2 linked regions of the Arabidopsis thaliana genome follow. The protein of the gene in region 1 binds, or shares a complex with, the protein of each later gene. Each region holds a gene or a part of one and is shown in the gene's direction. Other genes may lie near its edges.

Region 1 (6,548 bases):
ACTATATTTATTGTGAATAAATTTTAAGATAATACAAAAAAAACTATTGAACCTCATCAGAAACTAATTCACACTTGATTTTTCCTTTTTGACCAAACGAATCAAGAAAAACATTGCATTTTCACATATGTTATATCATTATCAAAGAGGTTGTAATTTCATAAACAAAAGTCTATATTTTATTTTTTACATTCTTTTTTCGTTAAAAGGCTTATAAAAGTCTATTATTTACACTTTACAACATAGTATTCACTTAAATATTTTCATTATTCTATCTAAAACTAATTTGTATATGAAATCATAACAAACAATTAAAAATACAGTTCAAAACACCAAAATTTGCCCCAAAAAAAGAAATCCAAAATTTGATAATCGTTTCCGATCGAGTTCTATTTGACTTTGTATTGACTTGCTTTGGTCTGGTCTCATCTTTAAATACCACGTTCTAACCATTCTTCATGATTTTATTCCCGCGGCTTTGGTGAAAAACGTTTAATTTTCTTAAAATGATGTTGTAGACAAGAAAACTTTGTGTCATTATCAAGAAAATAAGAAATGATGCCATTCTACCAACTCTGAACTTGAAAGCCGAAGAATCGTCACAGATAGTTTTTGTCGTAGATGTGTCATAACGAGAGAAACTACGGATCATTTGTTCTTTACGTGTCCACACGCTCGCCAAATATGGAGAGCTTCGAACATTCCCCTTCCGAGTCTATCAAATCCCCAGGTGCATTATGAAACAAAAATTAAAGAGATTTATGAATTTCATAAAAATGCAGGACAACATACAATGCAAGGGCAGCTACCTATCTCGATCCTTTGGAGAATATGGAAAAGCCGTAATAAGCTAGTGTTCCAACGAAAACAGAACGATTGGTGGAGAGATATCAGAGATGCTACAAATGAAGCGGAAGAATGGATCACAAATGGCTTATGTGCGCAAGTTCCCACTCCGAGTACGACTAATGGCACAACTAGGCAGTTTCAGAGTCAGTGGCAAAAACCACATATGGGATGGATTAAGTGTAATTACGATGGCAGCTTTGTGAATCGAGTTCGTGGCTCTACGGCAGCTTGGATAATTAGAGATGATAACGGCGTGTTCAAAGGGGCTGCTCAAGCGACAGGTGCGACCGTTTCCTCAGCCTTTGAAGCAGAATGTCAAAGCCTAATTCTTACCATGCAACAATTATGGATAAGAGGCTTTAGAAAAGTAATACTTGAAGGCGACTGCAAGCTCCTAGTCAATGTTCTGAATGGAAGAGGCTCAAGATTTGATGCTATCAATTGGATCCATGAAATCAAAGTTTGGAGAAATAAGTTTGACGCAATCAAGTTCACGTGGTCACACAGATCAACAAATCAACCTGCTGATATTTTAGCGAAAAACCAGAAACATGCTCTGTCTTCATACATAGTTCATAGCTTTATCCCATTGTGTATCTCAAATGCTCTGTTTTCAGACTACGTTTCCTAAGTAATAAAAATGAAGTTCGTGTTAAAAAAAAAAAAAAAAAAATGATGCCATTAACTCATATCATAAGTTCATAACCCAAAACTAAACTATCGTTTCATGTGTACTAACTACTTGTGAGATTTTCACAAGTCAATAACATGCGTGTGAATCTTTAACGCGTGCGTGATAAGTTTTGTATTTATATCATCATTTGGTATGTGTCAACACACAATTTGGGGAGAGTTTGTGTGGTAAGTAATGCAAAAATATATGTTTGTTATATAACATAGAACTGATTCTAATTGCTAAGAAAATTCCTACCAAACGAAGCAATTACGTTCAACAATTATTCTTAGAAGTTTGAAGAAACCATTCTCTACCACTCCACAATTCTTTCTTCTTCATTGGTTTTACAAATTCTACCTTTTCAAGTCATTCTTAAATCTTAAATAAACAAAACCAGTTTGAATTTTTTTTCGTAGTTGGTAGAAAAGTGTGTTCCAAAATGAGTTCTTTAGAAAAAAAATATTTCCAAAATGAATTATGATTTTTAATCTCTCTGCACCTTTAGTTATATCGGTAAGATATCTCAAATTCTTCAAGCAAATTATGGTACATATTTTCTATAGATAATATTGAAGAAAAAAGGAGCTTAACTAGTGTTGATTTCAACTATCGGAATCAAATATATATTTGCATTTCATTAGACACTAAACCTTTCAACAAAAAAATAATAATAATTCAATAAACACTACATGTGTAAGTGCATGTCACATGGATTACAAATCATTAAGCTAATATCTTCGATGAATTAAGAAGATAAGTGGATAACAAGTACCTAACCGCAATAGTCCATAAATTAAAACATTAATGTATTTGTCGTTGAAAATTTGGCCGACTTTTATTTGTTATTCTAGTTTCCACATCAAAAATGTTTGTACTTCGTAGCAATCCATCCACCTAAACCCCAAATCTTAATTTATATTTGTTGCGTTTAAATTTGGGTGAGATTTGATTCTAAGTAGTTGAGATAAATTGATATTCTATTCATTAGTAAAATGATAGAGAAATTGGTTTATAATAATTTTACCCTAGAACATGACATGATATTGGTAACCATTAATCAAAGAAAGAGCAAAGCATTTAATTTACCCTACTCTCCAACCACTCCAGCCTTTATTAGTTGCAGTTGGGAATCATTTCTTTATGATTCTTATGTCATTGTCTCCTAAATCAATGAAGTGCCTTGACCTTGTTACTAATTCGAACATAGCAAAGCCAACTACATAGATCCTTTACAAAGTTCTAAAAACAGGTTGTTTAGGCGTCTAGACAAACAAAACCATTTTGTACGATTCAACAAATTGGTCCATAGAATGTTATTGATCTTTCTTGTTTAGGCATTCGATAAATCGGCTAATACATTATTTTTTTGTTTTGCTTTTTCCTTATTAAAAATATGCAAAGTATTATGATGTTTAACCTGAACTGAATTTTACATTTAACTGGATATAGGAAAATATTGGGTTGAATTTAATAATTAAGCAATTGTCACGTAAATCAAATTGGGCTTAATATATATTGTTGATTTCAGCAAAGACAAAGTTGGGCCGTTTCAATAGTCTTCACGCGATGTAAGCGTTCACTAACCAACTAGAGAAGACAATCAAATGAATACGTTCCACGTGACGCTTACGAACTTGTCAGTCACTTTGGTAATATGACAGACAGTAACCAGTAAACTACTAATCTCTTTCGCTAACGAACACACAAAAAAAAAAAGAACCGTTTTTTCTTTCTATGGCTCCAAAACTCTGAGACAGAGCAAGAAAAAGATAAAGTGAGTGAAAAAATGGCAACGGTCACGATTCTCTCACCCAAATCGATTCCAAAGGTCACTGATTCCAAATTCGGAGCTAGGGTTTCTGATCAGATCGTCAATGTCGTAAAATGCGGCAAATCCGGCCGGAGATTGAAGTTAGCGAAGCTGGTCTCAGCGGCTGGATTGTCACAGATCGAACCAGACATCAACGAAGACCCGATTGGTCAATTCGAGACTAATAGCATTGAAATGGTAAAGATTCAATTGATTTTAAATTCATAATTCTGCTGAAAGTTGTTTCTGATTGGTTAGCGCTTTTGTTAATAGGAAGATTTCAAGTATGGATATTACGATGGAGCTCATACTTACTATGAAGGAGAAGTTCAAAAGGGTATAATTTTGGTTTCTCCTATTGATTCTTGTCGCTGTTTCGATTTTAGAGCTATAATATTTCTTTGTTTGATTGATTGATTAGTCTTCTTGGAAATGTTTCTTAGGAACATTTTGGGGAGCAATTGCTGATGACATTGCTGCTGTGGATCAAACTAATGGGTTTCAAGGTATGAATTTAACCCGCTTTTTAGTGCTTTTTATGTACCGCAGATTGATTGAAAACTCGCGGTTTTTTTATGTCTGCAGGTTTGATCTCTTGTATGTTTCTTCCTGCTATAGCTCTTGGGATGTATTTTGATGCTCCGGTAACTTCAAAATCTTTTGCTTGCTTCCAAAATTTATCATTACTAGTTTTATCGCTTTTGTTTTGTGGAGGACGTACAAGAGATTAGATAATTAAGCCAAGTATGAGAAGAAAAAGAATCACCAGTGTTTGTGTGTGTGTGTTGCAGGGTGAGTACTTGTTCATAGGTGCAGCGTTATTCACGGTAGTGTTCTGTATAATAGAGATGGATAAACCTGACCAGCCACACAACTTCGAGCCTCAGATATACAAATTGGAGAGAGGAGCTCGTGACAAGCTCATTAATGACTACAACACAATGAGCATTTGGGACTTTAATGACAAATATGGTGATGTATGGGATTTCACCATTGAGAAAGATGATATCGCCACACGATAAGATAATGGATTGTGATCTCGTTATAATCATGACTTTTGATGTAAACTGTTTTATAAAATTGATGAATGAACGGGGTACAATGTGTATAATATTGATTGTTCATTCTCTTATTTTTCTTTAGTACCATAAAACCTAGATTCTCATCTTGTAGTGTTAGGTTTCTGTTCTTCACTATATGTTTTTTTAAGATCTAAGTACCTCGTATGGACCCAACGAGTTTCCATACCCATCATTAGTTCATACAATGGTGGATAAACCATACAATTTGAGGTTGACGTATGCCACACGCTAACTTCATCCCCTGGTCCAAACACAACAATATAGTGTTCCAGTATTGTGGAAGAGTCCGAGGAGCTAAACACACCTTCGAGTTCTATCGAGTTGGAACATCAAGTGACAAACCAGCTCCACTCCTAATCCCTAGTCTCTCTACAAGAAAATGCTTTAACGTATCTCTGACACTTTCTTTAATATTGTGCAAACTATTCGTAAGTTCCATACCAGTTTTTACTATGATACTAGATGAGTACCCACGCTACGCGTGGGTTTGTTTTGAAAATTGTTAAAAAATATTTAGATTGATTGTTAGTTTTGCTAATTTATGTTTATTTTTGTATTGTTAATGAAATTAGATCCATATTATTTACAATTTTTATGGTTAGATTCATTTGTAACTCGAAATATCAATTTCTAATTTTCATGTATAAAGCTATTTATAAGATGTTAATATTTGTTCACTATCAAAAATACATATAACAACAATATATGATATTTTGATACAATTATGTGTAACCATGTTACTTGTGTGGTTTAAAATTTATCTTACTCGATTATAAATAAATCAATTCTTTGTTTTATGTACTTCAACAACATTGTGATAAGCTCATGATTAAAGTTTTGATTGACTTCAACTGAACAAGATCTGAAGAGTATTCGTATGAAAAAGGGGTATGAAGAAAATAAAAAGATAGCAAAAACTAAATGTCATTTAAGTCAACACTTTTAGATCTTCTGTCATTGCATATATCAATATTAGAAAAATGATCGTGTTTTGCATGATTTGAAAATTGTCTAACTTGATTATAAATAAACTATTTTTGGTTTATGTATTCCCTGATATAATACTCCAACAACATTGTTATAGGCTCATGATTAAATATATAGAATTAATATAAATTGAACAAGATTTCAAGAGTATTCATATGAAAAAATAAAAAGAAAGCAAAAATGAAAGTATCATTTAAGTCAATACTTTTAGATCTTCTGTCATTGCATATATCCATATAAGAGAAATGATCGCGTATTAAATTATTTGGTAGGTCTTATAGAGTAGTGATTATTGCTATAAAAAAAATTTAGTCATTATAGAGTAGTGATTATTGCTAAAAAAATATAAATAAAAAGAATATAATGAAAGTAGTGCTTAATTTATTAACATATTTTTTTGTTTTTTATTTTTATTTTAAAAAAATCAATCAAGAGTAGGATTGATGATACATTTAATTTGTTTATTTAATTTTATTAATTTTTAGTTTTAAAAATATCGAATGACACATGTCATTTTCTTGTGTGATAATGTGTCATTCATATGGAGAGAGTTGGTCAACTTTCATATATATGATTTTAAACATAGATAAACCCTCTTACTATAATATTCTCTTATTCATCCTATTTTAATTAGTCAATCAAAACATTTCATACTATATTTTAAAATAAATAAAAATTAACATGAAAAAGGAACAAATTAAAGAAACAAAATGTGTATACTTTTAATTAAAGAAAATTAAATATCGGTTTGTGTTTATAACTAAGAGTTTGATTTTAGATTTTACAATTAAACAACATTATATGTCGTTTTGGGTTTATAAAAAACATTTAAGGTTTAGATTTTACAATAAAAATAAATTATATGTTGGTTTGGGTTTATAAAAATGAGGTTTAAGGTTTAGATTTTATAGTTAAACAAAATTATATCTCGGTTTGGTATTATAGAAGAGTATTTAGAGTTTAAATTTTACAGTTAAACAAAATTATCTGTCGGTTTGGATTTATAAAATGGAGGTTTAGGGTTTTGATTTTATAATTAAACAAAATTATAAGTCGGTTTGGATTTATAAAAGAATGGTTAGACTTTAATTTTTTACAATTAAAGAAAATTCTATGTCAGTTTGGATTTATAAAAGAATGGTTA
Region 2 (5,561 bases), on another chromosome or scaffold:
AGATCAGTGTAGAAAATTACTTTGAAGAAAGACAATTCTCTCTGATCAAATCAGTAAAGTGGTCTGAATTGGACAATGACGTTCAACGAATCAGAAGAAAAAGTTTAAAACTTTAATAGCTTAAATTGGCTAATGATCTATAAAGTGACGATTCAACCAGCTAAAACAGTCTAAATCGAAGAAAACCCGGTAACTAATTAGGCTGAATTAACAAGATAATTCATCAGTACTTCTTCTGGATAAACTTCAATTACGTTTAAATTGAAGAAACCCCAGTAATAGTTAAGCTAAATAAACAAAAGATGATTTGTCACGTTTGCTTATTCTGGGTAAACATCAAAGAGTTTTCAGAAATAAAGAGTACCTTAATTCCGTGGGGAATCTTGCCTCTAGATTTTTATCGAGAAATCAGAGGAGTTGATTCAGTGTAGAGTTACTTATTGAAGGAAAGAAGGAAAAACGAAATCAGAAAATTGGATACAGTTTTTTTTTTTTTTTTCGCGTTCACAGAAGTCTACTTTATTATAGAGGAGAAGAAGAAGAAAAATGACGTCAATATGTTTGGGCAACGATTTCCACGCGCCAAATTTCGATTTAATACATGGACAAATGACACACAAAATTTTCTAACTTAAATATACATACGATATACATAAATGATAAATCTAATATTATTCCATTATCATATAATATTTTGTATGTGCCAAACATCACGACTTTTTTTAATTGCAATTTTGAAATTCACATATTACATTTCTATGGAATATTTTATTAATCTCTTACTTTTTAAAATATTTTTTTGCTTAGGATGTCCAATCTAATTTAATCAACAAAAAAAAAATGATAAATCTATGGGCCTACACTTTTGGGCCCAAATTTATATAACTCTTCTCGCGTTAATCAGAAACTGATGCTACTTCTCAAGGTTCTTACAAAATGTGTAACAACTAACAAGTAAGAACTAAAGAACACAAATCTCAAATTTGCTTTTCCAGTTTCTCAGGTCTAGAAGGAAGAGATTCCTGCCAGCAGTCTAAACTTCTCATAGGAGACCCAAAACACGAACTGCCACGGTCCAAGCCTTGCCCATGTCGGGAAGAAACCTTTCCACAAAGCTCTTATTCCTTCAAACTTAACCGTCTTCACCAAACAGTCGTAAGAATTTCTGTACACAGCATTTTCACCCTGGTTCATCATCCTCGTCTTCACCACATCAGCTGGACAACTCAAACTTGTCGAAGCAAGACCCGACATTATAGAAGCAAGAGTGTGCGCAAAAATGTTATCCTCAGCAATCTTCTTATCGATGACAAAGTGTTTGGCGTGATCATAGCAAGCTAGTTCTCCCATATTCACTAGAAATGCTCTCTGGATGTTTGGAAGAACACCTTTCCATAACCCTTTTACTCCTTCTGATTGTAGGATTTTGGTAAAAGCCTCGATTGGTCCCGAGTACCTCGGTTTCAGGCCTTGGCTCACCAATCTACCATCTGCTTGCATTCTCACTTTGACCAAATCAGCTGGACTAGCCACTACCTGCATTTCTAGTATGGACACAATAAGAAGCATTTTAGTGTGGTGTAGGTATAAACAACACTCAAATGTCAATTCTAAAGATATCAACAACCTAAAAGATAGCTACATTTCTCACTTCAGTAGCGTAAAAACAATTGAAAATCCTTAATAATTAACTTCGCCGGAAATCTACGAGTTTCCATAGGTAATCAGTGATCTGAGAGAACTTAATTGTAACACATAGGAGACAACAAGCAAGCACAAATTTTGGATTAAGGATCTGTGAAATACATTGAGACGTCTATGACTAGGATCTGCATTGGTTCTTATCTCTGAACCAACCTAAAGTAGCAGCTAACTTTGGAATGAAACGAACATTGAAAGCCTATAAAACTTGAAACAAAATCTCCTTCTAATTAATACCTTCTTCTACGAAACATATTCAAAGGAAACTATACATAGAGATCGATTGTTCAATTCGAAATGTTAATTCTACTCTAAGCAACTGTTAATCCAGATCCAATTTACAGTCAAAACATGACTCTAAAGATTTACCGGTGAAGAAACACCGTTACCTGAGCTATAACACCAGAAAATCCTCCGACGAGAGCCTTTGTGGCGAGAGGAAGAGACTCGCTATTGTTAGTTTCAGATCTGACGATGAGTCCTTTCAAATTCTCGTATCCAATGATTCTGATAGGCGTGTAGAACAGGTGTCTGATAATCGCCGGAGATAGACCTTTGTAGAGACCAATCACTCCTTCCTTTCTCGCAATCTCCGATACGACTCCGAAAGCGCCAATCCGATGCGCACCAGAAGCGGATCCCGAACCATGGAGCTGCATTCTAGTCTTTGTGAGATCAATCGGAAACGTAACTGACTCTGCAACCATCGCAGAGAGTGAAGCAAGCAGGATCCTGGTTCCGGTCGGTGCTTCTCTGGTCACTCGGCTCCGCTCCATTTTCACCGGATTTGATTACCACTAACACAATGTCCATCACAGAGAACACAACTTGATTCTATTTCGTAGTCAACGACATCGTTTCGGTCATCAGAGTGTATTTGACGACGTCGTTTCCATAATATTGGGCTTTAAAGTCTTATGGGCCCATGTTCACAAATTCTAAAATACAAAACTTTAGAGATAACAGCCGACGTGGCAAAACATGAAAGACCGAGTAGACATTATAGTTTTGAGCTCCTCCCATTTCATATCCTTAAGAAAAACAAAAACAAAAATCAAATGAGCTCCTTCACCACCACCAACACTCCGCCACCGTATCTCCTCCGGAAAATTTATCATCGCCGTGTAAACCAACCGTTCTCCGTCGTATGTTGCACCGGAGAACCCCAACAAGACATCTTCACCCGCCGGAGAACCTTGACTTCACTAATAACATTCACGGTCATCGGCGGTGCTACGTCATCAGCATTAGCACAGGAGAAATGGGGGACAAGGTCATTCATAAAGGAGAAATATTTTATGCCGGGACTATCACCTGAGGATGCGGCGGCGCGTATAAAACAGACGGCTGAAGGATTAAGAGACATGAGGGAGATGTTGGACCACATGTCGTGGAGGTACGTTATATTCTACATAAGATTGAAACAGGCTTATCTGTCTCAGGATCTCACCAACGCCATGAACATCTTGCCGGAGAGTCGCCGGAATGATTACGTTCAGGCGGCAAACGAGCTTGTCGAAAACATGAGTGAGGTATACGTTATATAATTAATGAACAAATTAAAAACAGAATTAGTAATTTTTAATGCTAATTTAAGGTTTGATTGTTAATAACACTGAATGTTGCGTTTTGTAACACATGATCATATGGAAGTCAAACTTTAACCACATGTTAATATTGATATCTTTCATAATTTTGATATAACAGTTGGATTTCTATGTACGGACGCCAAAGGTGTACGAGTCCTATCTTTACTACGAGAAGACATTGAAATCGATAGACAATGTTGTGGAGTTTCTTGCTTAATTCAGTTGTATTGTATATATGTCTTTCTTCATTCTTCACATGAAATCTCTGGACTCGTTACATTAGATATAAAATTAAAAGACTTAATAATGTATATTCAAGAAACATTTCGTTTGCGTGATTTCTCTGCAAAATCAGATCGATATATATATGTGCATAGATATCTTAGTGGCGAGAGAGGGAGATAGCGGAATTGATAACAATAAGCATGAGTAAGATCACTGCGCAGAAAGAACCGATGAGAGATCCCGAGATGCGTTCACAGAATCCGTCAAATTGCTGGCAGATCGGTGGCCAATTAGCAGTTGTGTTCCCCTCGTGAGCTAAATACACGGTGGCTGTTGCTGCAGATGCTCCAGAGCTAACCAAAGCCAGCATCACCTGATTATATATAGAAACCATAAATCATAACACTTTTGAGTGATCAAATTTAAATTTATATATGGGTTTTCATTAAAATGTTAGCTTTCTTGGGTCACAAGTTAGTTGGATATTTGGTGCCCTGTTTTGTTCTCTTAAAGAGGGAGATATTTACCGTGTCGACAACGAGCAAGATGATTCTCGAGGTTTTAGCTTGAGTACTGAAGATATGAAAGATACTCACAGGTAGAGAAAGAACCAAATATCCACCAGAAATGGCGTTTGCAACCACGAAAAACCTATAAAACAGAGCAGTATTATTATATATACACAATCAAATTCATGATTCATCGATATACTGATCACTGAATATTTTACATGAGCGTTGGTAAGTCGCTGTATTTAACTTTCAGAAGTACGAGCTGACTCAAAGAGACAACAGATTCATGTGTTGTTCCCATGGCAAGCGCGCTTCCTATAGTTCCAAAAACAGCAAATAACCGCAGAACGAATCCAAGAACCGATATTCCTTTGTTTATAACCAACTTTGGCTCAAAAGTAATCAATTTCCTAGATGATCTTGAAGTTTCCCCAGCTTCAATCTGTTTTGCTTCCCTAGCTTCAATCCCTTGTGCTTCCTCAGCTTCATTATGCTTTGCTTCTTCCATTTTTGCTCTGTGACTGTTTACTAAACAAAAAGGGTCTGCAGTTTATATAAATCTCCACAGTGAAACACTTCAAGAAGTGGTTAAGACTTTGAAGTAGCTGATTATAATGAAGAATACAAGATAAAAAAAATGTTAAAGCATAATTAATTGTGGAATTCACATATAAAGACAGAGAATTTAGGTTTATTGCTGAGGACATATAATGAGCAAAGATTTATTTGTTATCTTGTGTTTTTGCTTATCCTCTCTGTACCTGCTCTATATTGTTACATCAAACAACAACCAATAAGAATTCTCATTTTGGCATTGTATTCATGTCCGTAGCTAAATAATAATCTAAGCTATAAACTTTGAAGTGTTTACTAAATTTGACTGTGATTTTTTTTAGAATGATGAATATATTTTATTCGTAGAGAAAGAGAGAAGAAATTCAAAAGATTAAAGCTACCCAGATTGAATTCAGTGCTTTAAGGCACGACGACAACTTATGATGTTTTGTCTTTCATAGGCGTTTTTGTTCAAGAGGTTCTTTTTGAATTGTCCCACATCGATAGTTTAGAAGAGCTTTAGTCATAGCTTTGGGTATAAAATAGAAGCTGAGCCGTACGAACAATTCATACCTTTCTCGGCCTTTTGGCTAAGATCAAGTGTAGTATCTGTTCTTATCAGTTTAATATCTGATATGTGGGCCATCGGCCCACACGATATTAACTCTATTTTTTGAGGGAGATAGCTCACTAAGATAGCTTGCTATCTGGGCTTTCGCGAGTCGCCCATGCGTTGCACTATTGCACGGGCTTGGCTCAACCCGCCAATTTTAGAGTCCCAATTTTTAAGAATCGATTCTTCTTATTGCACCGTCAAGGCCCAAGGAATACCGATTTGGTGAGATTCTAGCTTGCAAACGTAACTTCATCCCACATCGACGATTATGAGGATATCTAGTGTATTTATATATACATCTGAACTTTGGTAAGTTCAACTCGTCACTGTACGAAGTGATTGGACTATAAACTTGTCAAAGTT

The links. The genes of interacting proteins can lie anywhere in the genome.
Region 2: PnsB5 (region 1) and PnsL2 share a complex: the UniProt entries of both Arabidopsis thaliana proteins name them as parts of the chloroplast NDH complex.

The regions. Positions count from the first base shown.
Region 1 is NC_003076.8:17,577,909-17,584,456, reverse strand, and holds PnsB5 (NAD(P)H dehydrogenase 18), read left to right. Parts: upstream 1-3,181; 5' UTR 3,182-3,311; coding exon 3,312-3,533; intron 3,534-3,608; coding exon 3,609-3,672; intron 3,673-3,778; coding exon 3,779-3,841; intron 3,842-3,920; coding exon 3,921-3,979; intron 3,980-4,126; coding exon 4,127-4,357; 3' UTR 4,358-4,590; downstream 4,591-6,548. Other genes in the region: AT5G43755 (non-LTR retrolelement reverse transcriptase-like protein), read left to right, coding at 685-730, 897-1,130, 1,230-1,480. UniProt on the Arabidopsis thaliana protein: NDH shuttles electrons from NAD(P)H:plastoquinone, via FMN and iron-sulfur (Fe-S) centers, to quinones in the photosynthetic chain and possibly in a chloroplast respiratory chain.
Region 2 is NC_003070.9:4,837,126-4,842,686, forward strand, and holds PnsL2 (PsbQ-like 2), read left to right. Parts: upstream 1-2,675; 5' UTR 2,676-2,759; coding exon 2,760-3,233; coding exon of another isoform or gene 3,234-3,248; exon of another isoform or gene 3,249-3,408; coding exon 3,409-3,507; 3' UTR 3,508-3,672; downstream 3,673-5,561. Other genes in the region: UCP3 (Mitochondrial substrate carrier family protein), read right to left, coding at 1,006-1,536, 2,091-2,477; AT1G14160 (Uncharacterized protein family (UPF0497)), read right to left, coding at 3,673-3,888, 4,043-4,166, 4,246-4,535. UniProt on the Arabidopsis thaliana protein: NDH shuttles electrons from NAD(P)H:plastoquinone, via FMN and iron-sulfur (Fe-S) centers, to quinones in the photosynthetic chain and possibly in a chloroplast respiratory chain.